Linked DNA regions of Callithrix jacchus. The protein of the gene in region 1 interacts with the protein of each later gene in a pairwise test. Links are inferred from orthologs where the notes say so. Each region holds a gene or a part of one and is shown on either strand. Other genes may lie near its edges.

Region 1 (3,938 bases):
ATAAAACAAAACAGTGATTACTATCTGGAAAATGCACCCCAGAAAAGGTTCTTTCCAACCCTGTGGTTCAGTCACTCTAGGATTCTTTTTTTTTTTTTTTTCCGGGTCAGAAAAATCAATATTTCATTCTTAAAACTGTTTACATTGTTAATAATGGATCACTAAAGCTTCGAAGTCAGGTTACCAAGTTGAGATTTAAAATTGTGTGTTTCTACACCGTAGGTTATAAATTAAGCCAGTTTCTAGAAAGAGAGAAAAGCACTTTAAATGAAATACCAATAAAACGTGATCTAGGGTGTGTCACTGGGTTGTTGCTTTTTCCCCCCTCCCTTCTTAGGTATCCCCATGTTTATTTTTCCCTTTCTGAGCTCTGTTCTTACTTACCGTGAGAAAATGCAGCATGTAAGCAACATGCGTGTGGGACGGGTTGATTTAAGAACCCAGCTCTTATCAGCAAAGGCTTGAAAGTTCCAAGGAAAACGCAATGTTTCTTCATAGATTTGCTCCCTACCTTCCCTTGCCCCTTCCTCCACTAAATCTCAGCCGCGGCGGCAGAGTGTAGGGACTATGGCTGGTTTCCGGCCCCAAGCTCATCGCGGAGCACGGCGTCCTGGCCGCGGCCAGGGCGGCGCAGCTCCTGGATACGATTCGTCCTACGCTCATAAATCAAACGCTTTCTATGAATGAGAATGTCGTCAAAGAGATCAATTGCAGGAACACATGCACAAATAAAAATCCTCTTACGTATTTGCCGGGGATCCCCGTCCGAAAGCATTAAGTTAGAAGGCGTTTAGTCATAATTCATTTTTATTGCTCTTTTAAAACAACAGCTTGGCTGAGCTGCGGATGCCATGAACAGCTCAGGGCCTCGGCAGCGTTTTGTTTCTTCCTTATTCCTTCCCATTCTAGTAAAAGAGCCCTGAAAGAGGCGTTTTGAGCCAAGCAAACCACTTGCAGGCGATCATTTTAATCTTGACCAAGCTTGCCTTTCACCCACTCTCCCAAGGCGTTGCAAGAGACCAGTGCGAATCTTCGGGTGCTGACCTACTTGCCTAGAGGGCTAAGGGTCTCCTACTCCGTGGAACGGCCCCCAGGATTTCTAGGGGGAGGGAGATTGGGAAAGAATTGATCGAGCTACAGAAGCCAAAGGCTCAAGGCCAGGGGAGGCTGCCTTTGTGTGCGGTTCCCGGAGAGCGGCGCTCTGGGCTGCCAGCCGAGGCACAGCCGGCCCGGCTGCGAGCGCCCGGCCTGCAGGGAGCCAGGAGCAGTAAACAGAGGAGGGCGGCCGCGGGCCTGTGTGCTAGTGCAAGCTCGTTATCCCAAGAAAAGGACTCCACCCAAGATGCCCCCGAAAAGAGGCCAGGAGAGAGGAAGAGAGGCTGAAGGAGAGCAGCGCCGAGACGGCGGAAGTAGCAGAGGAGGTAGAGTGGCTCCAGCTGGGGTTGGCTTTGTGGCAGGCGCCCTGCAGCCGAAGGGGTCCTGAAAATCCAGGCTGAGGAGGACAACCAAGGTACAGGAATGAGACAACAGGGGAAAATGTACCAACTTGCTCGCTCAGGCTTGGAGGGAGGAATACTCGCACAGCCAGCACTTACCTACCTCTTCACATCCTGTCCCCTCCCCCACAGGAGTTCCTTCTCTCCCCGCTGCGGGAAGCTGGAGCTGGCAAGGAAGCCGCCTCCAGGAGGACTGCCTTGCCTTTCCCCTTCTCCAAAACCAGGATTCCCAGGAGCTGAAACTGGGGCAGGGGTGACCTTTCCTGCCTGTGCTCCCTCTTAACCATGCTTGGGATGGATCCAAGTCACAGAGAAATACCATTCCAAAAGGAAATGTTTGGGGAGAATGTTTCATTGCTACTGAGGGAGACCAGGGTCAAAGGTCTGCGTGGATTTTCTTTCTTGAGGGGACAGGTCTGGGGGGAACTTCAGTAGTGGAGAAGAGAATACAGAAGACTGAAAGGGTGACTAACATATTTGAAATGTGCCTGCCTTGAAAAAAAAAACTTCCTTGTTCTAACGGGAGGAAAGGCTGAAGGGGAGTGGAAACTCCAGACCCACATACATTCCTCACTATAAATTTAATCTGTCGGATTCCAACTTTGTACACATGGTTGGAGTAAAATTTATACAGCATTGGCTGTAAAGCTTCTTGGATGATCTCTCGATTTCTCCTACCCAAGATTGCATCAGTTCTTGATCTGTTTGGGTTTTTCTCTCTACAAGCCCAGGGTTAACGTGAAACCTAATAGTAAACAACAATTAACTACCCCATCAGCCTCAGGGTAGAAGGAGGGTGATGGGGAACAGGACCCCTGGCCTGGGATGACACTCAGATTTGCACGTGTCTTTCTAGGCAAAGACTAGAAGGTTCTCATAAGCAACTACACAGTCCGTTGGAAAGGGGAGGAGGTGACGTTGGGGTAAAGTGTTCCGTCCACCATCAGCCATCTGTCCACCGCCACTCCCACCTGCCAGTCCCCACACCCACTCCAGACGTGCAGCACAATGAGGGGGGTTATAAAAGGAAGCTCTCTCTTTCTTCTAACATCCCTCTCCAGAAAAAAAGGAACGCGAGGGGAGTTCAGCGTAATTTGTTGGAGCTGTGGACTGGCCCTGTGAGGCCCACGCAGGCTCCTGGGTCTCCGGGAGCTGGCAGATGGCCTGCAGCACACGGCCCGGCCCCCACGCTGGCCACGTCATCTCTCTCCCCCGCCCCCTACCCCTCAAAATCCGGCGGCTAGTAGTTCCGCATCCCGGAGGGTTCCCCGTGGAAAACTGAGCGGGGGAGACAAAGGGGCGGAGGAGGGAGAGAAAGGGGCGGAGGGGGAAGATAAAGGGACGGAGGGGGAAGAGAAAGGGGCGGAGTGCGAGGAGAGAGGGAGGGTGGGGAAGAAGAGCCTGGCCGCCCCCGGCGTTTTCGGGGCTCTTCCGCCCCCGCCCCCGCTCCCCCACCGCCGGTCGAATTACAGAAGCTCCTCATTGCCATGCTAACGACGAGAAAGGGTAGTTGGGAGAGAGTTTCGGAGACCATCCAGGAGAGAGGAAAGTTTCTTTCTTGCCCTCGTCTCCTTCACGCTCACCCAGCCAGCCCTCTGCGCTCTTCCTTATCCATTCCGAGCTTGGAGAGCCGGTGGCCCAGCCTCGCCCTCCGCCACGGTTTTCTGCGCTCCTCACAGCCCCACGGCCTCCCAGTCCATCCTCAGAGCAGAGGAGTCGCCCTGGGAACCCGGGGCACTGTGTCAGCCGGATTCCCGGCCTTCCTGCTCGGCGCGCTCCAGGTTCGGCCCGCGTACTTCCGGCCACCTGGCCCACTGATTCCCGCCCCGAGAGAGCCGAGAGGCCTCTTCCCTTCTCACCTCTCGCCAGTTCATCTTTCGGTGCACGGTGGGGAGGAGGAGGGGACGGGGACGGGGGACGCCTCCCAGCCCCCACCTCTCGGAGGCCGGAGGGGGAGGGAGCAGCGGAGTCGGGCGCGCGCAGAAGGCAGGCTCTGCTCTCCTTCGCCGCAGCACACCGAATCGGCCTGACAGTCGCTGCCGCAGCTGCCGCCGCCTGGGCTGCCTGGGGGGGCGACTGCGCGTCACCTAGATGAAGGAGCGCCGGGGATTTAAATGCCACTGAAATGGTGATCCATCACCGCGGAAGCCGGCAAACTTTTGCAGGAGGCTCAGCCATTGGTTGACACCGTCACGTGCCCCTCCCATAGCGTCCTCCGCCCTCCGGCCCCCCCCTCCTGCGCACTGTACATTCATGTCATTTTTCTTCTCTGGTCCCATGGAGGAAGTGAGAAAGTTGGTACGGTCACCCAGGGCTTCGCAGGACCAGGTCACTCAGTGACAGATGGACAATGCAAGAATGAACTCCTTCCTGGAATACCCCATCCTCAGCAGTGGCGACTCGGGGACCTGCTCAGCGCGAGCCTACCCCTCGGACCACGGG
Region 2 (4,289 bases), on another chromosome or scaffold:
CCCCCCCATCCCCTTCTCTCACCTGCCCACCCAGTTCTCCATCGCTCCTCCCTCTGCTGCCCCAGGGCAAGGGAGGAGCAGACTGGTCACAAACACTACACAGGCATCTGGGCGTGGAGGGTGCTCTCTGCAGGGACAGAAGCCTGGCGGTTACCTCTCCAGTGTCCAGAGAGGATGGAGAAGGTGGTGAGACTTGCCCATCCCTTTATGAGCCTCAGCATGGGAACAGGGAGGATGGCTGCCTTTTCCATGTGTAGAGGCTACATGGTTGGGAGCTGACCTCAGCCTTCCAATTAAGGCCCAGTCCCCACCCCTGAGCCCTGTAGGGGGTTCTTAGCTCCTCCCCAAGTCCTACCTAGGGACTGTTTCTAGGCTAGCTCAGGCACACACAAAAGGCATTTTTTTTTTTGAGATGGAGATCTCACTCTGTCACCTAGGCTGAAGTGCAGTGGTGCCATCAAAGCTCATTGCAGCCTCAAACTCAGGCTCTCCTTCCTCCTCAGTCCTGAGTAGCTGGGACTGCAGGCGAGCACCACCAACGTCCAACTAATTTTTGTATTTTTGGTGGAGATGGGATCCAGCTAAATTGTACAGGCTGGGCTCGAACTCCTGGCCTCAAGGGCAAAGCGCTGGATGACAGGTGTGAGTTACCACACCTAGTTAGAGGGCTCCTTGTAGAATGGTTGTCATCGGTTCCCACCCCTGCCCTCCCAGATACCTAGAAAGCAGAGGAGGAAGGCCCCACTGAGGATGTGCAGACCCTCTCAGAGGAGCCACCAGAAGCGCCTTCCTTAGGTCTTCCAGAATCAGGACCCGCCCGGCCTGTGTCCTGCTTGCCTCCCGCTTTCTCTTCCCTCCTTAGATAAGCTCCTTACGGAAAGCACGTCTCAGACGCTTTTTGGCCAAGGGATAAGCTAAGTGGATTGATGGTTTAATCTCTAGAGAAGAAGCCGGCGATGTAACACCCCCGGGTGCCAGCATCCGGGTTGGTTCAGCGAGGATTTGCTTCCTGTGCAGCTCTACAGGCTGGGGAACCCGGGGGGAGAGGTGCAGCCTCGAGCCGAAGCCACAGGCCTCACATTCTGAAGAGCCGAGAAGTTCATCTGAAGTCCAGCTTTGAACACTGGAGAAGTGAGACTTGGAACCCTCCCCAGCCACAAAGCCTCACTCTCCTTGCCCCCTTCTCACTTTGAGTCCTTCCCACCCCTGCTCCTCACCCCACTCTTAGTTCTGCTTTCCAGGAAAAAAAAAAGCTGTTGCTGTTGGCTCTGAAAGGCACCCGAGAGAGGAATCCAGGGAGCCCTCACGTTGCTGAGGTGGGCCAGCTCTGGGGTGGAAAATGACCAAGAGAAGGGTAGGAATGTGCCTGGGAGCAGTCGCTTAGCCCCACTGCCCTCCCTGAGACCCAGGGCCTGGAATGTGAGGGAGGGGTCAGAGTGGCTGAGCCAGAGCCGCCTAATGGCTTCGGGTTGGGAAGGGGGTTGTGATGACCACTCCTTCCCCCGGCTGGGCTGGCCACTGAGGTCAGCATCTCCACCCTGACTGAATGGCAGAGGCCAGGGTCTCCAGAGAAGGGCCCATGTTCCACCCAAGTCTTCAACCTCTGCCTCTTACTCCAGCTGAGGGAAGAAGAAATGGGGTGATTTCACTGCCTGCCCCTTCTCTGATGCCAACCCCTCTCCATGCGCTCTCTGCCTCCCAGATTCCTTGTCGCTGCCCCTCTCCCCGGGTCTACCCAGTACACATAATCCCGTCCCGAGCTGGGTTTGGCTTTGGCAGTTCCCTGGAGAAGTGAGGGGTGGGGGTGACGTGAGCTCCCGGGGCCAGGGCCAGGCCTGGCTCCCTCTCTGGAAAAGTCCCACTCCACCCTCCCCTGTGCAGCCCAGCAGGGGCCCATGCCCCCTCCCCTGCCGAAACAGACACACATTTGTGCTTCTGACTCCTTTCCATGTCGCTCATCTGGTGTCACTCCTGGCCCAGGACAAGGACAGGAGAGGTCAGAGGTGGTCGCTCTGGTGCCAGGCTAGATCCTGGTCTGGACTAACGTTGGTTCCACCTGGCCACACCTCCCCACACTACCCAGTGAAGACCAAGGAAAGAGACCTGTTGAGGGCTCACCCTTTCACCCCGAGGGCTTCCCTCTGTGACATGGGGCACTTCTGGAGAAGGGTTGGACCCTGTGTTTCTGTCTGAGTGCCTCAATTCCCTGGTCCTCACACAGCCCTCCACTCCTGGGTCTGGGAGGCCACGCCAACAACTTTCTTTCCTGTCAGCCTCTTCTGCCATCAGGCTGAGCTGCATCAAGGGCACCCACCTGCGTCCCTCACGGCGACCCTGCTCCTCCAACTCAAGGAGCGCAGTGCGGGGCACAGCCTCCCAGAGCACCGTCCTGGGGGAAGGGCAGGAGGCTCCAGGCGCTCGTGGAGGTCGTGGGTCTGTTTTCCAACGTTACTATGTGACTTAGGGGAATTTTCGCTCACTCCCTGCACGTGTGATGGGGCCAGAGTTCCACGGGATCAGACCCCCTCCCCAGGAATTCGACCCCAGGGGCTGGAAGATGTCCGAGGCCACTGGAACTGGGGCCGGGGTCGTGGCAGGGGCGCGACCGCACAGCGCAGGGAGAAGGGGCGACGCGGTCGCGCGGGGCCGTTGGTCTAACGGGACCCGGGGAAGGGGCGGCCGGGGCGGGGTCCCGGGGAGGTCTCTACCTGCTTTGCGCGCCCCCGGCGGCCTGTTAACCCTTCTGCGCCCGGGCGCTCTCTCCCGGCAGCCTCGCTCCGCGGCGGCCACTGCGGCCCCTGAGCCGCGCTCCGGGCACCGCCGCCTCGGCCGCGACTCCGCCCCCTCGCCCGCCCCCGCCCCGCCCGCCACGCGCCCCGGCCCGCGCCCCTCGGCGGCCCCGGGGTGTGGACGGTCGGCTTTGCGGTCCGGCTCGCCAGGGCCACCCACCCCGGGCTGCGCGCCGGGCGCCCCCCGACGGCTGCAGTGGGGAGAAGCCCAGGCGGGCCCGGCCGGGGTCGGAGGCGGCCGTCGCTGCCGGGCGCTGTCCTCGTGCCCAGCTGGAACTCGGGACTTCAGCAGCCCGGGCCTCCGAGAGGCTCGGGTGGGCGGTGCGAGCGCGGCGCGGAACAGGCGGGGCAGCCTCCAGGGGCGCCAGGAGCCGGGCGGCCTGGGACAGCCGTGGGTCTGGGAGGGCGGCGCCCTGGACGGGGGTGCCCGCGGCCCCCGACCCGCGTGGGTGCAGGCTCTCTCCTCCCGCGGCCTCCCTGCGAGCTCAGTCACTCCTGCCTCTCCCGTGCTGGGCAGTGAACCCTGTGGTTCGGACTGCTGCGACCTCTGGGAGCTTCGGGTTTTTCCTCTGTAAAGTTTTGCACTCGGGACTTAGCGGAAGGACAGCGTGCTGACTTCTGGGTCAGGCTGACTTGCTCTGAACCTCAGCTCCGGCACTTGCCAGCTCTGTGGGCTTCGGTGAATACTTCCACCTCGGTGTGGTGCCGTTTGCTCAACTGCAAAGTGGGACTAATCTAATATGTATGATGGGCTTGGAGATGTCTCTATCCATTTACATCTGGAAGAATGCACTCCAAACTCAGAAGTATTGGTGGCGTCTGGGGAGCAGGGCAGGGTGGGGGGAAGAATGAAAACGGCTTTTGCTTTTTACTCTACGTGTTATGTTATTTTTATGAAATTTTTAACCACAAGAGTAATCCATCTATTGGTTATATTAAAAATTAATATATGGAAGCTGGGCGGAGTGGTGAAAGCCTGTAGTTCTAGCTATTCCGGAGGCTGAGGTGAGAGGTTCGCCTGAGCCCAGGAGCCTGAGGCTGCAGTGAATTACGATCGTGCCACACTGAGACAGAGAGAGACCGGGAATAATACCTCGTCTCAAAGATAAATGCATAAATAAAATATGTAAAATGGCTGGCATAGAGTAGATAATAAATGGTCACTGATTTTTTTTTTTTTTAGATGGAGTCTCCCTCTGTCGTCCAGGCTAGAGTACAGTGACGTGATCTCGGCTCACTGCAATCTCCGCCCCCCAGGTTAAAGCGATTCTCCTGCCTCGGCCTCCTAAGTAGTTGCGATTACAGGCGCCTGACATGGCGCTGGCTAATTTTTGTATTTTTAGTAGAGACGAGGTTTCATCATGTTGGTCCGGCTGGTCTCGAACTCCTGACCTCAGGTGATCAGCCCTCCTCGGCCTCCCAAAGTGCTGGGATTACCCACCTCGCCCAGCCTATTCAGTGTTTTAAAGGTTTTGTTTGTTTGTTGTTTTTAAGACAGGC
Region 3 (4,202 bases), on another chromosome or scaffold:
GCTTTTGTTGTCTTGCATTCCTTATGTGTCCCTCTCTTCTTCCCCCCTCCCTTGGCCAGGGACCTATGTCTGAGTCCACAGTCACAGATACTTCCCAAGCATATTGGAATGGAGTGGCCATGTGGCGACAGAGAATGCTCCCTGTGTAGACTAAGGCACCTGAAAAATTTGTCCTTTAGGGATCTGGGAGCTCTAGGCATGCTGGCCTCAATGTTCTCAGTTCTGTTTCCTCTCTGCTTTCCCAGACTCCTGCTTGTGTCCCGAAGGGATCACCTGGAGGTACAGGTCTTTAGTTTGCTAAAAAAAAAAAAGGCCTTGAGAATCAAGGTATAATATAAAGAGGCTGTTGTGAGTCCTTCACAGGTGGTACTCCTACTAGGAAGCTCATGAGCTAGAATTTTCATAAATAAGAAGTAGGGAGGGAGATGTTGGAGGACGAGAAAGAGGGCTCAGGGCTAAGAGACAGGTATTAATGGCCTAGGGAGCTGTGGTAGAGGTGAAAAAGAGTAAGGTAGAGAGGGATGAATGAGACCAGAGTGAGGCAGAACAAGCAAGGTGCTGAGCAGAAAGTGGTGATGAGAAGCAGAGGAGGCCAAGAGTCAGAAGCCAGAAGAGAGGCCAGATTGAAGACAAGCACCCAGAGCCAACCTCCTGACACATGCGTTAGCATCCCTGCGCATCCTCCACAAACCTCAGGCTTGGTCAGGGCATTCAGTGGCCATGGTTCCATTCCAAAGCAGCATCAAGACCAGTGCTTTATCTTCTTGCTGAGATAGCCTGCCTCTGCTCCTCTGCACAGCCTCCCCTCTCTCCCAAAATCAGGCCTGTTCTTGCACCTGGATTCTTACTGTATCACCTGTCAAATCTCCTGGCTTCCCACCTTTGCACCTGCAGGCCATTCTGCACATTAGAATCACCTGAAGGGGCGATGCTCATTAATTCAGATGCTCAGGTGGTACCCCAGACCAATACAATCAGAATGTTTCTGGGGTGGATATCGGGCATCAGTAATTTTTAAAGATCCCCAAGTGACTTCAATGCACAATAACGTTAGGGAGCAACTGATGCCTGAGGCATTTTCCTAAAGACCAATTTTATCTTTTTCCTGTTGAAATGGGCTCAGAGGCTCAGTTGCTGTTGCACAGAGAATTAGGTAGTTGAGAGAGGAATGTGGACACTATTTCCCACACTTTAGTATTTCTAGACTTGGACTGAGAATCCCTGGATTTCCTATTTATGCAGATACTATGAGAGGGCCATAGGTGGAGAGTTATGGGTGTTAAGGAGCTACTAAAGATTTAATGGCAAGATGGATAATATCTTTCCCCTAAGTTCACTAAACTTCTGCTTGCAGAATTGCTTTTCCAGGCTTGAAAGCTTTCAAACTGGCCTGCCATTTTTCTGCTTCTTCTAATCCTGTCATCTTATAGTGCTGTCATCTTTTCTAAGAAGTGTGCTCTTAGTACTTCAGACTCCCCTCATGTGTGACATAAAAAGGCTTGTTTGGCAGAGCAGGTGAGGATAATGTAAGACCTGATATGGAGGATTAGTACTCCAAATGAATAATTGAGACCCCAAGTTCCGTGACTTCTGGATGAGAAAAAGAGAAGGCAGTTGGAGTTCCTGGATGTCTGGGGTACTTAAATGGCTCTCAGGGTCAAAAGTGCCCCATAGAAGGTCTTACTTTTCCAATAAATGTTGCAGGTATTTAGAGTTAATAGGAAGAAAATGAGCACTTTTTATTTTTCTATAACATGCAGATTATAAAGAATATACATTAATTCTTATATCTACAATATCATGGGGGTGGGGGGGTCTTGTCTCTGTTTTGCAATACAGCATTCTAGAGTTAAGATCACAAATTTTAGGTTCCAATTCTGACTCTGAATCTTTCCAGCTGTGTCATCCTGGGGCAACTTCTTCTCAAAGTTTCCTTTGAGAAGGAAACTTCTCAAATGCTCAGTTTCCTCATGAGAACAGTGGACTTTGGGTTATGCATGAAATGCCTGGAAAATTGTGTAAACACCAAGTATTAGCTATTACTATTTTGTACAGATGAGAGAGGGTTCAGAAGAGTGAAGTGCTCTAGTCGATGATGCTTAGATTGGAGCTCATGGTCTACATACATAGTGACCATATATGATACAGTTAATTGCTACAAAATTCTTGGCTCCTTTTTTTTAGATAAATAAACACAGAGGGGCACTGGCCTGCCCTGTGGACTTCACAGCTAGCAAGGGGTCCCTAGTTTTCCTGAGCCAATGTGGCTGCACATCTGGTGCCTGGCACTTACAAGGTATGGATGCTCTTGAGGCGGCCCTTGTGGAAAGTCACGGTGATATTACGGCAGCAGCGGCTCTCATAGTAGTAGCACTTGACGTTGCTGCTGGCTGTGCAGCAGCACTTACAGTTGGGATCATTGGCCCAAGAACAGCAACACCAATGGCAGTTGGGGTTCTCAGCACAGGTACAGTGGCAGAACTGGCAGTTCTGCTCATCTTTGTAAGGGCAGGGGAAGCAGGTGCAGTTCCGCTCTGAGGTAAAGATGAACTTGCAGCATAGACAGGAGCATAACCGAGGACAACATCGCTGCCATGTACAACATGGACAGCAAACACACATAGCAGTTTCCATGGTGCCTACATGATTAACACTGCCCCGCTAGGATTTTTGATGCCCCCTCTACCAGAATACTGCTATCAGTTCTCCAGTAGAGGAGTCTCTCCTCCCCCTTGTGAGGCCGTCAGCTTGGGAGTTGCAAGAAGTTGGCTGTTATGAGGCGTTCACTGTTGGTGTCCCTACCAGGAAGCTCATAGGCTGGCATTTACATATATCAGCCTGAGGGTATTTGCTTATGTCACAATCCCTCTCTCTCTACCATGCTGGGTGGGTAGGAGGATGCGGCCTTGTGGGTGTAGCAGGTATGTTGATGGGCTCTCCATGCTTCCATGGAACCAGCTGTAGAGGAGTGGTGATGCAGTGAGCCTTCCGGAAGTTCAGTTGTCATTTGTCAGCTTTTGGAAAATGGAGATTTCGGAAGCTGTTTCTCCTTGTTTGGTGTTCTGCCTGCAATTTGGGCAAGTTGACTTCATATTATGTCTTCATAGACTGAAAGGCTTGGGTACAAAGTAGAATAACATGGTTTTCTTCATGTTAGAGGAACTGATAGAATTCTATTTGAACAAAGGAATTATATATCCCCCAGATAATAGCAATGCGATATTTAAAGAGATATCACCATTAGGAGAGAGTTAAAAAACACATAGATTCACTTTAGGGACTTCTTTCAGTAGTAATTGATTTTATCAATCAATGCATAGTCACTGCTCATTTTCATGAAGCTTTATACATAAGCCAATCTGAATATTTCTTGGCTTTTTGTAGCTTCATGGTGTTTGGGTGAGGCTCAAGCTTGCTCACTTTTCCCCCACCCTATTCCCACCCCACTACATGCCTTTTAAAAAGAGACTGGAACTCTACATGAAATCTTTCACTGTTCTGCTAGTATATGCTCAGGATCCTTAGAAACAAGACCCTATATTTTACAGAAAAATTTCACTTTCCAATTTATGCAGCTTGCGAAGATTAAAGGAACAGAAATTTCATGGTCATAGTACGTTATAGTGTGAACATTTTCTTATTTTTGTAAAAAGCAGAAGAGCTGAATTTGGCTGCAGGAATTAAGTGCATAATTTATTATCTCTCCTTATGGTTATCACCTCTATAATAGGAAAGAACATCACTGAGTGCCAACTATGCCAGCCACACATTGATATTAGAGTTCCAACAGTGAAAATCCTGGATCACAGAATATGTGCTTGATCTTTTTTTGATACAAACTGCCAAATTTCTTAAATAAATGTGCCAGTTAATACCAGCAAGTAATGTAAGATGTTCAAAAAAGTGAAACACCTTTTCCCTCCATGTTTGCCAAAACTGTTTCATTAATATTTCTCCCCATCCTCCAGGCACATAGGTTGGAGTTTCACTCCCAGATTTATGATACATTTTTACTATTGGTTTCTGTAAGGTCTTGTTAAAAACTTACTAATATGTAATTCACTTACCATTCAGTTCACCATTTTAAAGTAAATGGTTTTCAGTATATTCATAAAATTGTGCAACTATCACGATTATCTAGTTCCAAAATATTTTCTTCACCCCCAAAAAACACTCATAAGCAGCCTCTCTCTGTTCCTGCC
Region 4 (3,973 bases), on another chromosome or scaffold:
ATGGGCAAGCAAAGCTCATCTGTATCTACAGCCGCTCCCAATCATCGCATTACTGCCCCAGCACCGCCTCCTGTCAGATCAGCAGCAGCATTAGATTCTCATAGGAAGCCTTCACGGAATCACATGTGCATTCAACGGCTCTAGGTTGCGTGTTCCTTATGAGATTCTAATGCCTGACGATCTGTCACTGTCTCCCGTCACCCCAAAATGGGATCATCTAGTTGCAGGAAAAGGAGCTCAGGGCTCACACTGATTCTGCATGATGGTGCGTTGTAGAATTGCTTCATTATATATTATAATTATATAATTTCATTATATATTATAATGAAACAATTATACATGTTATACATATTCTATTCTATTAGTGTTATCATAGAAATAAAGTGCACGATGAATGTAATGCGCTTGAATCATCCTGAAACCATCCCCCCTGCCCCAGTCTGTGGAAAAGCTATCCTCCATGAAACTGGTCCCTGGTGCCAAAAAGGCTGGGGACTGCTATATGTCCCTGAAGATGGCCAGGCAGTTCCAGCTAGAAAGCTCATTTGAGAACATCTCAGCCAAGGGGCCAGTTATTTTTTGTTTTTTGTCTGAGACGGAGTTTCGTTCCCTCTCGTCACTCAGGTTGGAGGGCAGTGGCACAATCTCAGCTCACGGCAACCTCTGCCTCCCAGGTTCAAGCAATAATCCTGCCTCAGCCTCCCTAGTAGCTGGGATTACAGGCATGAACCACCATGCCCAGCTAATTTTGTATTTTTGGTAGAGACAGAGTTTCTCCATGTTGCTCAGGCTGGTCTTAAACTCCCGACCTCACGTGACCCACCCGTCTTGGCCTCCCAAAGTGCTGGGATTACAGGCGTGAGCCACTGTGCCGGTTCCCCGTGGGCAGTTCATCCCTGCACCACCCCTCCCTGTATTTCCTGACCCGCTCCACATCCCAGACCTCTGACTGTGCTCCAAAACCAGCCCCCTGGCCAGGCACAGTGTCTCACGCCTGCAATCCCAGCACTTTGGGAGGCTGAGGCAATGGATCACCTGAGGTCAGGAGTCCGAGACCAGCTTGGCCAACATGGTGAAACTCCATCTCTACTAAAAATACAAAACTTTTCTGGGCATAGTGGCATGTGCCTGTAATCCCAGCTACTTGGAAGGCTGAAGCAGGAGACTCACTTGAACCTGGGAGGTGGAGGCTGCAGTGAGTCGAGATCACGGCACTGCACTCCAGCCTGGACAACAAGAGCAAAACTCCCTCTCAAAAAATAAAAAACCAGCGCCCTAGAACACCAACCTCCCCACTAATCAGTGTCCCATTGCCTGTAAGAGCTGACATCCCAGTTCCCCAGGGCTTACCTGGGGCCCGTGCTCGCCTCCTCTTGCTCCTCCTGCAGGGCCAGAGACCCCAGCAGCCTCCTCCTTGGCCCCCGGCCCCGGCTCTCTCTGGCTCCTATAGCCAGGTCCCCAGACTTCACCTCGGCCTGGGAGAGGAAAGTGGGGGCCTGGGAGGGGCCCAGAAGCCTGAGAGGTCCCCCGCCGGGGCGGGCCACAGCCCCTCACTGGCTGTGCCACCTTCACTTGCACGGGGAAGGCAGGGCCAGCTGGGGTACTGGCAGTAGCATAAGAGGCTGGAGTGGGGCCCCCATAGGGAGACGCTGGGAGCGGCGAGGCCAGGTTCGGCTTTAGGGAGCCTGTGCGGTAGGCAGGAGGTGGCGGGGGCTCATATGCCTAAGGAGAAATGCAGACCAGAAGCCTAAGCGAAGCCCCCACTCTGGGACCCACATTTGTGGAAATGACCCCGAGTGTGGGGCAGCACGGGTGTTTGCATTTGACAAGGTCCCGTCCTCAGGTGACTGACATGTTGATACTTGCAGCCACGCTTCCTCCATGCTGGGGTGCACAGCACACACATGACGGGGTAGACTGAGAAGCAGGAGGCTGCAGACGGGAAGGAGAGGCAGGACTGGGGAGTCACCTGTCGGTCTGGTCGTCGTGGCGTGTGACCCCGACCCCCATTCAGCTCAGCCAGCGTGCTGCTCAGCAAGTCTATCTCAGCGTCCAGGCTGCCGGGGCGCAGGGCACTCCTGTCTGCAGGGAGCCCCTGGGGTTGGAGCCAGAGCAGAGAGAATACAAATCGCCACGACCCCACTCCCGCCCTGGCTCTCTCACAGGCGGTTCTAGGGGACCCCGCACGTCCCACCCAGCAATCCCAGTTCTCACCTGCGTGCGCTGGGGTACTCCATGGGACCCCACCCAAGCCGGCCCCCGATCCTCTGGTGCCCCTGGGGCCTGGTAACACTGCTCTGATGGGAGGGGGCAAAAATTGCCCCTGGGGTGGGGCTGGAGTGCTGGGTTGAGGGAAGAGAGATCAAAGGTGGGGTGGCGGAGGACAGGAGGGGTGTGCATTTGGGGCGCTGCCCTCTCCGCCCCTCTTTACCTCTCCCCCGAATCTAAGGTCCCAAGAGATCTCGGGCAGCTGTTCCCATCGGCTTGGGGAAGGGGCAGGAGGAAGCCGGCAGGGCAGGAGGCTGGAGCTGGAGGACAGAGGTGAGCGCCATAGCGGGGTGGCTCCTGTCTCACGAGGGCTGCCTTACCTACTCCGTGGGCTGGTGGTGGCCCCGGGATGCCTCGGGGGATCGCCCTCCCCTGAGGGGCTCTGGTGGGCTCCGGCTGCTTCGGGGGCAGCCAGGTGGGCCCCGACATGGCCTAGAATGGGGAACTCCGGACAGCGGTCTTGAAGCCCAGAGCCTCGGGCCTTCACCCCCTCTTCCGTCCTGCCTCGTTCCGGACTCCAGAAAACTTTTCCTGGCTTTTTTTTCCTCTTCCTCCCTAATTTTGGGGGCGACCACGCCCCCGATGACGTCACCACATTCCTGGGGGAGGGTCACGTGGGCCCCCTAGGCCCTAAACTGCCATTTCTCTCTGAGTCGGCCCCCTCCCGCCGAGAGGGAAGGGCTCTCCGAAGGAGCCCGAGTCACTGGGGGCTGTGGGCAGCTGGGAATGGGAGGTGGGCGCCCAGGCCAGTCTCCAAGTCCACAGATGCCCCCTGGGCCCCGCGCCCCAGCCCTGCACATGGCAGCCTAGCTACGGGAAGCTGAAGGTCCTATCTCCACCCCTCTGCAGAGCTCTCCTTTCCCACCCCCTCCCTCTCACCTACCCACCAGCGCGGCTCAGCCAGCCTGTAGTGTTTTGGTCTTTTATTCATGGTCAGCAGAGTTAGAAAAATAAAACAGAATGAAAACATCACCACCCCAGTGGGCCACTGAGTCTGGCCAGGATGAGGAAACTGAGGTAGCCGAGAGTTCGGAGGGCCAGCCCCTAGCATCAAGGCACCAGTGAAGGGAGGCTGCGGACTCCCTCCCCTGCATGGTGGGGATGCCCGCCCGGAGTTACTGTGCTGGGGTCCCTCTGCCAAAGGAGGTGGGTGTGACACCCAAGCCCAGAACCCCCTCAAATCCTCCCCTGGGATCCAGGTCCCGAGGGGCAGGGCCACAGGACACAGTGCTTCCCTCCTCCTCTTCTAAGGTTCAGGATGGGCTGCCTGCCTGGGCCCTCTCTACCCAGCCCTGGAGGCAGGGGCATCAGAGATCAGTGCAGGTGACCGGGGTGACACCGTGAACCAGCAGTGTGGGGCCCAAGTCTCGGCTTAGAGTCTCCAGTAGCGCCAGGTAGCGGGGGTAGCGGGCAGGGTCGGCGGGCGGCCGAGGCAAGTACAGGAAGGTGAGGGCTGTGGTGGGGCCCTCGGCATCCCCACCCTCCGGCCCACCCGGCCCTCCTCCCGTGCCACGCCCCTGCTGGGCCCGAACCAGGGCGTTGGCGCTGCGTGCCAGGGCCTCTGCCTCCATGTCTCCCTGCCTACTGTTCACAAAGTCCCCTTCCTCCTCTGCCTCGGGTTCCCCAGCCTCAGCCCCCTCACCCCACACCACCTCCTGCACCTCAGCCCGGATCCGCAGTTGGCTCAGCAGCACCCGCAGCCGCC
Region 5 (4,254 bases), on another chromosome or scaffold:
CATTCTGATGATTTTGTAGTAGTATTGCTATATTGTCATATTTTTTCATGTAGGAAGGTGAAGAAAAATTTTTTTCTTTTGGAGACTGAGGTCTCGCTCTGTTGCCCAGGCTGGAGTGCAGTGGCACAACCTCAGCTTGCTGCAATCTCCGCCTCCTGGGTTTAAGCAATTCTTGTGCCTCAGCCTCCAGAGTAGCAGGGATGACAGGCGCCAGCCACCATGTCTGGCTCATTTTGTATTTTTAGTGGAGACGGGGTTTCACCGTATTGGGCAGACTGGTCTTGAACTCCTGACCTAAGGTGATCTGCCCGCCTCGGGCTCCGAAAGTGCTGGGGCTACAGGCGTGAGTCATGGCGCACGGCCAACAGAATCTTACTCTTTAAACAGAAGAATTCATCCCTAGGAAGAGACTTGCTTTGCAGGGGAGACACCTGGCTGGGCTGAGAGCGGAGGGAGGGCCTCGGGGAACAGGAACATGTGGATTCTGAGGCCCTGGGGTGTGGCCGAGGGGCTGTCTCCTGCCCAGGCTACAGGCCCCTCAGGCTCCCTTTGCCATCTCTAAGCCCACATCTCACTGCAGTTCAAGTTTACCACTGGGTGACACGCCCGGTGGGGGGTGAGGGCTCTGCACCTTCCCAGAACCTGCTGCAGGCCACCTATCCCAGGTCCGGGCCCTGCTCTGTGGACAAGTACCTGGGCAGCAGGGTGGTACATGGGCGGGATTGGACTTTGTGCTGAGCATGATGGGCACCTTGGGAGGAGGTCACATGACCCGATGTCGCCCTCCATGGAGCTCCCTGAGCACCAAGTGTGAGGGGCAGCGGCGCCCAGCAAGGCCGAGGAGGGGTGACTGTCATTCAGGCAGGAATCAGGGTGGATGGGACCAGGGTAGGGGCAATTCGGGAGAAAGGACACTCAGTTGCATTCTGGAGGCAAAGCTGAGGGGAACCTGCCAAGAAGCCAGCCCACAAGGCCATGGATGTCTCCAAGGCATCAGCTGGAGCAGCGGGCGGCCCCAGGCAGGGAGAAGGGAGCAGCAAAGGCAAGAGTGTGGGGTCCCCTGGCCACTGGGTTCCGGTCCTGGCCCTCTGCTTTCCACCCACTGAACAAGAGGCTTCTACCTGTGAACCTCCGCTGAAAATGGAAGCCCCTCAGCTCTAGAGTGTCGCTCCGGTGCAGGGGTCAGGGGCCCGAGCAGGCAGGGAGAGGAGAGGAAAGGCTGGGGGACCCACTTCTCCCTGCCCGGACCCTCTCTCAGGAGCAGAAGGCTCCTCTGCCCATAGGCACCCCTGCCTGGCACCTCCCTTCAGCCCCCGTTGGGACCGGGACTGGTGGGGACCAGGCACATCCTCTGATGGAAAGGTTCCACCACATCTGTGGCTGACAGAGCCAGCTGTCAGAGGCCAGGGGGCGCCGGGGTAAACAGGAAGCCCCATCCCTCCTGCACGTGCTTCACTCCCTTCTCCAGCACCTCCTGCAGCCCGGCTCCGCGGCCATGCCTGGTGCCCCTCTGCCTCTGGCCACCTGAGATACCCAGACTGGCCTCTGCCAGGGGCTCAGTCTGCCCTCTCCTGGGACTGCAAAGGCCAAAAGCACTTGGGTGAGGGGTCCAGGAAGCCCAGGAGGGCCCAGGGGCTCCGCCAGACCTCTCCACGCCTCTCCGCCCAGCCAGGGCACTCTGGGAAGGTAAGGCAGCCCTTCCCCTTACAACTAACCTCAGAGCATTCCCAGGCAGCCTGAAGGCCTCCCCTTAGAACTAACCTCAGAGCATTCCCAGGCAGCCTGAAGGTCACTGGGACAACCTGGCCCTACTGACAGGAGGGCCAATGAGGAAACTGAGGCCTGTGTGGGGCACAAAGCTGGGACCAGAGCTCCAGCTCCTGCCCCTGCTGGGCCTCCGTCTCTGACATCACCCCAGGCAGGGTGAGGCCACAGGCTCCAGACCTCCCAGTGCCCAGATGAGGACACATGCAGGCCTCGGGGCAGCCGCCAATCCCACTGGGTTCCCCCTCTGTGCTGGGCCCCTGCAGTGAGGGAGGGGGCCAGACGTGGGCCCGAGCTGTCTTCCGTGGGGCTGCAGTCTTGGCAGGAGACTGTGTGTGCCATGATCCCAAACCCAAGCCACCAGAGCGGCAAGGGCAGGGAAGGGGCGTCTCCAAGGACGGGAGGGTGAGGGAGGGGCGCGCCTGCCCTCTGCTGAGCCCTAGGCCTTGGGCACAGAGTGCGCTCCACCCAAAGCAGAATCTGGGGGCGGCCCCACCCCCCACACCCCCAGTACCCTCTGGAGTCCAAGAGGGTACAGACAGCAAGCATGTCTGTCCCCTGCCAATCCCTCGACCCTTCGGTACCTGATGTGACCCTGGCATTAGGGCAACACCCCAGCCCACCTCCTGCACCTGCTGCTTAGGCTCTGGGAGCCCAAGAGAGTAGAGTACCCCTCCCTTGGTGGCTCCAGGCCACAGGAGAGGGCACAGCTGGCACTCTGGGCCTGAGCCGGGGCCTCCTTCCCTTGGGGAGGGTCTGGTCTTGGCCTGGGGAGGGGCTGGGGGCAGGGCAGAGCTTGTCAGGAGGGGGTTGCAGTGAAAACAAGTTGGCAGCAGGCTGGGCGCAGCCCCCCAGGCTCGCACCCAGACCCCAATGCCAGAAGGGCAGCGTGGGGAGGACTCAGACTCTGCCCTCACCCCCTGGCCTGCAAGCCCAGCATTCCATTCACCGGGAAGGCCCCCAGCCGGCGAAGCCTCAGCGAGACTCATGCACTCAGCTACTTGGCTCCTCCTGCCTGCAGCCGCCCCCTGGCCAGACAGGTCTGTTGATAGGGGCTGCTCCAGGCTGGGGCACAGGACAAGCTGGGGTTGGGGGACAGAGGGCTCCCCAACAGGAGGAAGGAAGGAAGGGTGAGGCAGCTTCCTACACACCATCCCAGCCCTGCTGGCCTCCCTGCTCAGCTGGGCCAGTCGCCTCACCCTGTGGGCCTCAGTTTCTCCCTCTACACAGAAGGAGTTAGACCTAGCCCACCCCAGGTTTGTGGGTCCTTCCGCCCAGAAGCCAGCACAGATCTAGAGGAGTAAGGGCAGGGGGGAGGGGGAAGGTTGCAGTGACACAGGTGGAGGGCAAGAGGGCACCTCCTAGGATGGGGGCACAAGTCTAGTGGGCCCCAATATGCTGGTGGGACAGGCTGGCCAGGGCAGAAGAAGCCCCTGGGTGGGAGAGCCAGGGGGCCAAGGAAGGCACAGGGGGGCTGAGGGTGCAGCCAGTAGGGTAAGGGCCAGATCCCAGGTGGCCTAGTGTGGAGGAGATGGGGAAAAGGGGGTTCTGCCTATCTGCTCCAACCTTGGGGCAGGGGCCCCCTCTGGAAAGAGGCCCTTCCTGCTCAGACCAGCCGTGTCTGGTGCCAGAATTGCCCCCTTCAACCATCTTAGTGACCATGGGGCAGGTGCAGAAACTGAAGCCCGAAGAGTGAGGCCCTGAGCCCTGGGCACAGCCCGGCGTGCAGAGCAGATTCTTCCCTGGCCATGGGTAGAGGGGAGCTGGTCCCTGCTTGGGGGGAGGGGTGTCACTTGTAGGGGAGGTTTCCTGCCTGCCCGCCAAAGTCCAGTGGGGAATTTCCCAGCTGCCCGGCCTCCTGTGAGCCCTGGAAAGGTGGGGCACACTGACCTTTCCAGGCCCTGCTCCAGCACCTGGGTTCCAGCTGTGCCCTCCGAGGCCGCCCAGCTCCCTTCCACACCTCGTCCCCTCCCACCCCACCCACCATTGCCACAATGCCTCGCTCCGCCTGAGGTGCCCACGGCCACCTGAATAGGAAGCTGAGGGTCAGACCTGAGGGCTGGAACCCCGGGAACCTACCAGTACACCCCGTTATCACCCCATCTCCCACATCCCTCCCCAGTCTGCCACCAGCCAGAGCACCCCTGGGAAGTGGGGCTGGGGGCATCGGGCCTGCTTGTCCATCTCCAGGGCAGGGCTCACAGCCTCACTGGCAGCTATCTTAGGGAAGAGGCCTGAGTCACAGTGCTGAGGCCTGCCCCATGCCGCCACCCCCTACCATGGGCCTCAGGGACCCACAGAATAGGGTGTTCTCAGGCCACTCAGCCTGCCTTGCCCACCCCAGTCCCTTCCAGCTGGGCCTCGCCACCTGACACCCCCCACTGGTGTCAGGCTGGTCTCTGCCTTGGCCTGGGGCCCCTCCCGGCTCCCATGCTGTGTCACACACATCTGGGGGTGTCCTGTGGGAGGGCCAGTATCCTGTGGCCCACA
Region 6 (3,268 bases), on another chromosome or scaffold:
TGTGCCTCTCGATGTAAAATGGAAAGATTCATATAATAGTACTTACCTGCTAGGGCAGCTGAGTGCATGAAATGACTACTGAAGCAAGCGACAAACTCAGCCCAGTGCCCGAGGTGGTAAACACTGGCTCATTTTCTCATTATCTGGCTCAGGCTCTTATCAAAATGGATTTGTGTTCCCTGACCCCACACTGCCACTGTCACAGCCAGCTGGAGGCGGGCAGAGACCAGCCCAACGTGGACATGACTGAGTATGCCACTGCTTGTCAGGGTGCCTGCAGTCACAGCTTGGGAACAGCCAGGAGATGACCCTGGGTCTCTGCCACCAGCAGGGACTTCTTTTGGGTGGCTTGAAGTAGACAGCACCCAGCTCTGCAGACCTGAGCACCCCGTGTGCCCCACATGACATGGAGCAGAACCTGGAGACATCAGCTATCTGCCCCTCCACCCTGGGTGAGCTCTGGATGCCGCAGGAAAAGAGAACCAGCATAGTTCCTCTTCTGCATCTCACATCCCAATAAAATATTTATTATTTCAAGAAATAAATCTTTAAAAAAAGAGAAAAAAAGAGTGTCTCTATTGCTTTCCCCCACAGGTCAGTCCTTGGGAACCAATGAGTTTCTTGCCATCGTGGTTTCTGCGGCTGCAGGGGCCAGCCAGGTCTGGAGGGGACTCCTGTGGGAAGTGTCCAGCCTGGCCCCTCCACCAACTCTCAGCGTCCTGGGGCTGCCTCCTGGGAAGGGTGGAGGAGCAGGCCTAGGTTGGTGGGTGGGGTTGCTGGGAGAGGGAGCAGGATTATAAAACTGGGTGGTGGCAGTGTTCTGAAGGCCTGACCCGCTGAGGCAGTCGGGGCTCTGGGCGGGGGGAGAGGGGAAGGGGGCGTCCTGTGGCAGGCATGCCACTCAGGGAAGGACGGCTGGATCTCAAGGCGGTTTGAGGCTGGAGGTAGGGACAAGGACTTGACATGGGTGGGGTTGAGGGCTGCCTGGGTAAGTGGACAGGGCAACTGGAAACTAGGCATGGAGTGCCATGGGGCTGAGGCTCCATCCCAAGCCCCTGTCTGCAAAAGATGCTGGGGGGTAAGGAGTCAGTATCTGTGGGAGTGCCTGGTGCACAAAGGCCACCCCCGGGCAGGGGTCCCAGAGCCTGTTCTCTGAGCCTGGGGTGGAAACCTCCCCTTGGAGGGGGCAGGGCTTGAGGCTTTGGAACAAATCCACCATCTGGAGTGGCAGGTCATGCCAGGATGGGTTTTGGGAGAAGCCCGGAGTGAAAAGGGTTGGAACAAGCAGGAGAAAGAAACAACTCAACCAGGGCCTAGGTGGTCCCTGCAGCCCAAACTGTGGTCCCCAAGTGTAGCGGGAAGGTGGTGGGATCGGGAAACCGAGAGGAAAGGGGCTAAGGGGAGGCACGAACAGGGCCCCTTGGCTTAGCCTTCCACCCACCCTCTGCCCCTGCATCCACAACCCAAATGCCAGCGGGCCCTGTGTTCCTGGCTCCCCTCACAGGAGGAGGGTAAGCCCCCAATTCCCCTGCCGGGAGCAGGTACCATCCAGGCCCATGGGGAGGGGCCCTCCTTGAACCCTTCAGGGACCATGGGGCAGCCTGGTCCCTGCTACCCTCTCTTGCAGGTCTAGAAGCCCCATCCTGGGCCCAAGAATGACTGGCCCCCTTCATCTGGCCCAGATCCAGCCTTGCACAAAGCAAGGGGCCTTGACCACCTGCTCCTGGGCCCTGCAGACTCTCCGAGCAGCCCGACATCTGCTTGGCCTTGATGCTGCCATGAATTCCCAGGAGAGAACCAGGAGCCTGCCTGGGAGGTCCCAGGGGCTCGGTGTGCCGCCGCCTCCTATTCCTCTGCACGGCTCTCCTCTGGACACTTCCAGGCGAAGGAAGTAAGCTCCAGCCTGGGGGAGCTGCGAGGAGGACAAGCAGCCGGAGCCCAGGACCTGCTGGTACTCTCTCCTGTGTCAGGGGAGAGCCAGCCGTGGGTGCCAGGCAGGGCGGCAGAGGTGGCCTCACAGACAGCCCTGGCACAAGGCCACCTGGCCTTTGCGGAAGTCACGGCAGGGGCAGAGCCGGCGGTACTTGGTGTTGGAGCCGGCACAGCTGAAGAGCAGGGGCTCCTTCTGCAGATAGCACTCCTGGCCAGGCTGGGCGAAGGCCGGGTACAGGTGGTTCATCTCCGACTCGGTGCTGTCACAGGGCACCTGCAATCTGGCATGCATAGCACCATCACTCAGCATTGGTTGCTTGGGCTGAAGGGCTGGGCCAGGGTAGGGGTTCCCCACAGCCCAGCACTGCCTGCTCCCCTTCTCTGGCCCATCCCCATCCCAGAATGGATAAGGAAATGTGTTACAGCTCCCTACTGTTACACCCAGGACAGCTTTCATGGTTTGGGCTAGACAACGCCCAAACAGGCTGGGTAGGGGGCTGAGTGGGTGAAGGAGAGCAGGGACTGAAAGGAGCCTCTCCTCTAGTTTAAGGCTTGGCCAAGAGTGGGGCAGCAGTGACCTGGATGTTGGCCTGGAGGGTCCCTTCTGGGTCCTTCCTGACTCGTTGGAAAGCATTAAATCCCCCACCGCTGAAAGGGCTGAGGGCCAGTTCTGGGTATGAGAGCTCATGGTGAGCCTGCTGGGCCAGCAAGGATGGGGGCTGGGGGGTGGGGGCCCATACTCACTTGAGGAAGGCGTCCTGGCTGTTGAGGAAGGGGAAGAAGGAGGGCTCGCAGATCAGCCCGTGGTCCAGGCAGGTGTCGGTGCACGCCCTCCCAGGCACAGCCAGCCAGGCCCGCAGGGAGTTCACGGGGGGCCAGGCCCCCAGGGTCAAGCTGGCATTCTGAGCCCATTCGAGGTGGGTGGCATTTGGGGCCAGGACAAAAGGGCTCTGCGGGGCATGGGCCCCTGGTTGGGCAGGGCCTGGAGATGTGCAGAAGTCCTGCAAGGAGGGGGGAGCAGCGTTAGGTAGGGAAATGCCAGCCAGGTACACCCGGGGGACACCTGAAGGTGTGGCCCTGCCAGTACAAGCCACAGTACCAGCCACCACTAATGGGCACTTACTGAATACCAGGTAGCTTTACCTGCATTATTTTATTGACTTCCAATGGACACTTGTGTCTCCAGGTCACTTACAGGGAGAATGGAAGCTGAGAGGTCACGGCGCCTGCCCAAGGCTTTGGGGTTGGACAACAGAACAGGACTTGGATTCAGGGCTCTCTGCATCCTGTCTGCCCTGGAGCTGTCCTGATGCTCAAGTCAAGCTCTGGTTTCTAC
Region 7 (4,300 bases), on another chromosome or scaffold:
CCAGCGCAGGGATGGCCACATTGTAAGCTACGACGGTGGAGCTGCGCCCTCTGCAATCCGCACTGAATAAATAGTTGACGGAGAGGAAGGAAAGGGAAAAAGTTATGAATGAAAACAAGTTCTCTCTCCCTCTCTCCGGCAAGAGGAGGGGAGGAGGCTGAGATTAGCACAAACTCAGGAGGGCGGACTTCCCCACTTTTTTTTTTTTTTTTTTTTTTAGACGTAGTCTCACTTTGTCTCCCAGGCTGGAGTGCAGTGGCGCGATCTCGGCACACTACACCCTCTGCCTCCCGAGTTCAAGCGATTCTCCTGCCTCAGTCTGCCGAGTAGCTGGGAATACAGGCGCGCGCACCACGCCCGGCTAATTTTTATATTTTTGGTAGAGACGGGGTTTAGTCAAGTTGACCAGGCTGGTCTCGAACTCCTGACCTCAGGTGATCCGCCTCGGCCTCCCAAAATGATGGGATTACAGGCGTGAGACACCGCTCCCGGTCGACTTCCCCATTTTTAAAGTGGCAGTGCCCTCTCCCTCGCCTTTACACTGAGCTCAAAAGAAGAAGAAAGTTGCGGCTGGCTTTGGGACAGGCTAATCTATCGAGGGGTGACCGGTGAATTCCGGGGAATAGCTTCCCTACACACACACACACACACACACACACACACACACAGCCTTTGCCAGTCCCATGCCTGAAGCACACTTCAACACAGAGGGCCCCCGGGGACACCCCAAGAGCCGCCTGGAATCCCTCTCGGGGGTGAAGGGCTCTCGGAGAGGACAATCCAGGCCACCGTGCCGCCGCTCAGGGTAACCGGGGTTCGGGGAGACCCTGTCTCGCTACACTCCGCCGCCGCGGACCGTCCCCCACCCAGCCACCCAACCTCGAGCGCTCCAGAAGCCTCGGCTCCCGGGGTGGGGGGGGGGGGCGGGTGGGGCCGCGCCGCGCAGGGTCGTCCCTCCTCTTTCCTCCTGTCCCCTCCCCTCCCGGAGTCCGGGCCAGGGCAGCCGCGCAGCCGAGTCCGCACCTGCCGCGCCGAGCAAGCCCCGCCTGCGCGCCTCCCGCCCCGCGGGCCGAGCGCGGCCGCCGCACACTCACCTAGGCCGAAGCGGTGGCTGGGGGCCAAGCCGTGCGACCCGGCCCAGGTCCCGGTGCGCGCGGCGGCGTACACGCGCCGCATCAACCGAGGCGGGGAGGGCGAGGCGGCATCGCCGGAGCTGCTGCGCCTCGGCCCGCGGCCTCCCCCGCCCCTGCCGCCACCGGGCAGGAGCGCTCCTCGCGGCCCCCTTCCGGCTGCGGAGGGCAGTTCTCCCGCGGCTCCGCGCGGCCCCGGCCGGACCTCTCAAGGCTGGCGCTCGCCGGGCGGCTCAGTAACATCCACCTCACGAGGTCTTCCGCAGTCCCTTTCTAAGAACCAGTTTTTACAAATCCTTTCGGGAAGGCTCTTCGAGTCTCAGAAAAACGAGCAGGGGAGTGGCGGAGAGTCGAGTGCGTGACGGGCTAGCTGACGGCACGGTGTGCTCAGAGTACGTCTCCGGTTCTGGTCGCTCCTCTCAGGGAACGAAGGAAGGGATGGCGGCTTCCTGACGAACGAAAAATCCACGTCACGGGCGTTCGAGACTCCGCGGCGTCCGGGTCAGGGCTCGAACCGTAGTCGACGGGCGGGTCACGGAGCCGCGCAAGCCCCGCGCGAGACCCTGGAGCACGCGCCTGCCAGGCAGAGGCCGCCGCGGCCGGGTAGGGGGAGGGGAATCTTTTTACCCGTGTTTTTAGGGGGGAGGGGTTAAGGGAGCGAGGTTTGGGGATCCTTCTCGGAGACAGGCGGGCGTCGTCCCGTTCCCCGCTCAGGCCCAGGCGCTTTGCCGATCTCACACGTAGGGCAAGTGGGGGCACAGCGTCCCCGGAAACTCCGGTCCTGGCAGGTCAGCCTCTCCGGGGCAGCGCTCACACCCAGTCCTCCGAGCCTGCAGTTCCACGTCCGAAATGCCTGCGACAGAGGATTAGACATAGAAGCTCGTGAATGTCCCTTTCTTCGAAGGGCTAGGACGCGGGGCGGGCCGCTGGCCAGCTCGCCCGCAGCCCGTTGCCATGTGCTCCCTGTTGCTGCTCCCAGTGATTGACAGGCCGGCGCACAGTCGGCGTGTCAGCCGCGAACCAAAGTAACATGCAGTCCTGCACGTTTTTGCCGAGGTGCTTTTGCCCCCTGGAATGCCTAGAAGTTCAAACAACGTTCAAGCAACGCCTCTGCGCGTTAGCAATCAATACACAGAGACGGGAAATTCAGGTTTTAAACCAATGCTTCTTTCGGGATTAGGTCACCAACAATGCCTAAACAAACACGCATTTGGTCCACACACCAAGTGCCAGCCCCTCTTCGTATAAAGGCATTAACGGCCCTGTGTTTCACACATTCGATCGTTTCAGACTTTCAACTTGCTACTGTTCGGTTAAGGAAAGGAAGGTGAAAGGGATCCTTTTTCTATTAGCGGTAGCATTTACTTTAAGAGCATTACTTTTAGCATGGGAATGCAACCGGTGTTCTGAAATGCAATGAATAATCTTAGCTCGAACGCGAGTTCAAAGCAATGTTCAGTTCCTTGCAGAAGTCAACATTTCTCACCTTATCTTTCCTAAAATGTCTACGGAAGGAAACGGTACTTACCTAATGCAAAGATTGGAAATTGCTTTTCAGGCACATTTACAGCGACTGTAGTTGTTCCTTATCCAGGGTAGGGAACTCTGCCTGCTGCTATCACTCTGCAAACCACTGCGTGCTTTACAGAGCGATCTCACTCCGGCTCCGCAGAATTTCAGCTCCTTGCCTCCACCTCCACCTCCACTCCGGGACACGCCTCCGGTGATATCATGTGTCAATCTCTCGGGCTGCCCGAAAACCTGGAACAGGATTTCCTTAAATTCGTTTCCTCTTTCGTTTATGTGTATCAACTTGGAAACGTTGCCCTTCAGACTCGTGTAATAAACATCCTCTTAAAACTTCGGGAGTGCCTCTACAAATTCTGCAAATGCAGTTTGTCATAGAGGAATACATTCGGATTTAGTTAGCAATCTTTAATTGTCGATCTCAATTAAAAGGATTTTTGAACTCTTTAAGTTGAATTAGAAAAGAATTGTTAGGAATAAAAGAAGAAAAAAGTTGTATGCCAAGCCATCACTTCTGAACAACTAGAGGGAAAATGTACATTGACACAAAAAGATGATTATATAATATTACAGTTCCTATATACAACACAGTTCAGAATATGTGAAATCTAAAGTTCAAAAGGTGGCATGTCTTGCTGCAAATGTAATATGAGGATATGTAATAATGGGGACATTTTCTGTTTTGGGTTTTTAAAAAAATAATTGCTATACCTGGCTTGTTATATGATTTCCCACAAATCAAGCACATGGAGAAGAAACCAAATTCTTTCCATTATGTAATATAGTTGTATAATTTTGCAAAAATACCAACCTGTATATTTTTAATTAGCTAAAAGTCAATTATAATAGAAAACATTTATCAAGAAGTTTTATAATTCTTAGTAATATCTGATGTGACTGGGAAAAAAACACTAAGTAGGAAACTTGCTTTCTTACAAACTACGGGATTTTAGACATTTGCTATCAAAATTGTGCCTTTCATACTGCAATGAGAATAACTATATGTGGAATTTAAGGTTCCATAGAAACTTTTAAAAGCCACCTAAAAACCAAACTTATAGTTAGTGGAAAGGAAATATTTTTTCGGGTACTGTGTATCAGGAGTAGCTTAAAGTCTGGCAAAACAAAGCAACAAAAACAAAACTCCAGAATCTAAGTCATACTTGAACATGAGTATCGAAATTTTTAGTTCAAAGCATTTTTAGTCTCCTTATTTACAATAGCAAGCACTTCTGTTGAAACTTGTAAATATATACATACATTACACACACACACACACTTCCACATACACACGGGATTTTCAAATGTCTGAGCACATTCAAAAATTAAAGTTGTGTTTGGAATTCCACTAAAGAACACAGGGCATTGTTAAGGACATCAATAACAATAAAAAAGCATCACTAGAAAATTGCATAGAATAAGAAGCCAAAAAGCTTGATATTCACATAAAGCTACATATTCACTCTTAATATTATGAATGGTATTAAAATAGGCTATTTAAAAGCATAAAATTGATTGTATTGTATGTTCTTTTTTTAACTAGATCTCATTAGATTTTGGGATGTAATGAAATTTTACCAGTGATGGATATGTTTCTTGTGACTGTATTTGGAATAGACAAATCAAACACAGAATGTCATATC

The links.
Region 2: the proteins of HOXA1 (region 1) and ADAMTSL4 interact in binary tests that used the Homo sapiens proteins (3 or more experiments, as listed by UniProt). The two-hybrid records come from large-scale screens. The link is inferred for Callithrix jacchus from reciprocal best matches to the Homo sapiens genes HOXA1 and ADAMTSL4.
Region 3: the proteins of HOXA1 (region 1) and TRIM42 interact in binary tests that used the Homo sapiens proteins (3 or more experiments, as listed by UniProt). The two-hybrid records come from large-scale screens. The link is inferred for Callithrix jacchus from reciprocal best matches to the Homo sapiens genes HOXA1 and TRIM42.
Region 4: the proteins of HOXA1 (region 1) and TRIP6 interact in a two-hybrid assay, tested with the Homo sapiens proteins (2 studies listed by BioGRID and IntAct). The two-hybrid records come from large-scale screens. The link is inferred for Callithrix jacchus from reciprocal best matches to the Homo sapiens genes HOXA1 and TRIP6.
Region 5: the proteins of HOXA1 (region 1) and EGFL7 interact in binary tests that used the Homo sapiens proteins (3 or more experiments, as listed by UniProt). The link is inferred for Callithrix jacchus from reciprocal best matches to the Homo sapiens genes HOXA1 and EGFL7.
Region 6: the proteins of HOXA1 (region 1) and MGAT5B interact in a two-hybrid assay, tested with the Homo sapiens proteins (2 studies listed by BioGRID). The two-hybrid records come from large-scale screens. The link is inferred for Callithrix jacchus from reciprocal best matches to the Homo sapiens genes HOXA1 and MGAT5B.
Region 7: the proteins of HOXA1 (region 1) and SPRY1 interact in binary tests that used the Homo sapiens proteins (3 or more experiments, as listed by UniProt). The two-hybrid records come from large-scale screens. The link is inferred for Callithrix jacchus from reciprocal best matches to the Homo sapiens genes HOXA1 and SPRY1.

Annotation. Positions count from the first base shown.
Region 1 is NC_133512.1:30,997,651-31,001,588, forward strand, and holds the start of HOXA1 (homeobox protein Hox-A1), read left to right. Parts: upstream 1-1,138; 5' UTR 1,139-3,839; coding exon 3,840-3,938. UniProt on the Homo sapiens protein: Sequence-specific transcription factor. Regulates multiple developmental processes including brainstem, inner and outer ear, abducens nerve and cardiovascular development and morphogenesis as well as cognition and behavior.
Region 2 is NC_133519.1:10,457,224-10,461,512, reverse strand, and holds the start of ADAMTSL4 (ADAMTS-like protein 4), read right to left. Parts: upstream 2,801-4,289; 5' UTR 2,709-2,800; intron 2,543-2,708; exon of another isoform or gene 2,315-2,542; intron 1,928-2,314; coding exon of another isoform or gene 1,690-1,927; intron 1,688-1,689; coding exon of another isoform or gene 1,649-1,687; intron 1,647-1,648; coding exon of another isoform or gene 1,614-1,646; intron 1,612-1,613; coding exon of another isoform or gene 1,489-1,611; intron 1,487-1,488; coding exon of another isoform or gene 1,185-1,486; intron 128-1,184; 5' UTR 43-127; coding exon 23-42; intron 1-22. UniProt on the Homo sapiens protein: Positive regulation of apoptosis. May facilitate FBN1 microfibril biogenesis.
Region 3 is NC_133518.1:43,744,948-43,749,149, forward strand, and holds the start of TRIM42 (tripartite motif-containing protein 42), read right to left. Parts: upstream 2,801-4,202; 5' UTR 2,635-2,800; coding exon 2,294-2,634; intron 1-2,293.
Region 4 is NC_133503.1:12,855,965-12,859,937, forward strand, and holds the start of TRIP6 (thyroid receptor-interacting protein 6), read right to left. Parts: upstream 2,801-3,973; 5' UTR 2,698-2,800; coding exon 2,589-2,697; intron 2,343-2,588; coding exon 2,215-2,342; intron 2,096-2,214; coding exon 1,853-2,095; intron 1,723-1,852; coding exon 1,351-1,722; intron 1-1,350. Other genes in the region: SLC12A9 (solute carrier family 12 member 9), read right to left, coding at 3,576-3,973. UniProt on the Homo sapiens protein: Relays signals from the cell surface to the nucleus to weaken adherens junction and promote actin cytoskeleton reorganization and cell invasiveness. Involved in lysophosphatidic acid-induced cell adhesion and migration.
Region 5 is NC_133502.1:185,120,567-185,124,820, forward strand, and holds the start of EGFL7 (epidermal growth factor-like protein 7), read left to right. Parts: upstream 1-1,454; 5' UTR 1,455-1,686; intron 1,687-2,696; 5' UTR 2,697-2,751; coding exon 2,752-2,804; intron 2,805-4,254. UniProt on the Homo sapiens protein: Regulates vascular tubulogenesis in vivo. Inhibits platelet-derived growth factor (PDGF)-BB-induced smooth muscle cell migration and promotes endothelial cell adhesion to the extracellular matrix and angiogenesis.
Region 6 is NC_133506.1:132,799,356-132,802,623, reverse strand, and holds the end of MGAT5B (alpha-1,6-mannosylglycoprotein 6-beta-N-acetylglucosaminyltransferase B), read right to left. Parts: intron 2,934-3,268; coding exon 2,677-2,933; intron 2,214-2,676; coding exon 2,015-2,213; 3' UTR 501-2,014; downstream 1-500. UniProt on the Homo sapiens protein: Glycosyltransferase that acts on alpha-linked mannose of N-glycans and O-mannosyl glycans.
Region 7 is NC_133504.1:74,302,575-74,306,874, forward strand, and holds the start of SPRY1 (protein sprouty homolog 1), read right to left. Parts: upstream 2,801-4,300; 5' UTR 2,659-2,800; intron 1,984-2,658; 5' UTR 1,095-1,983; intron 869-1,094; exon of another isoform or gene 1-868. UniProt on the Homo sapiens protein: Inhibits fibroblast growth factor (FGF)-induced retinal lens fiber differentiation, probably by inhibiting FGF-mediated phosphorylation of ERK1/2. Inhibits TGFB-induced epithelial-to-mesenchymal transition in lens epithelial cells.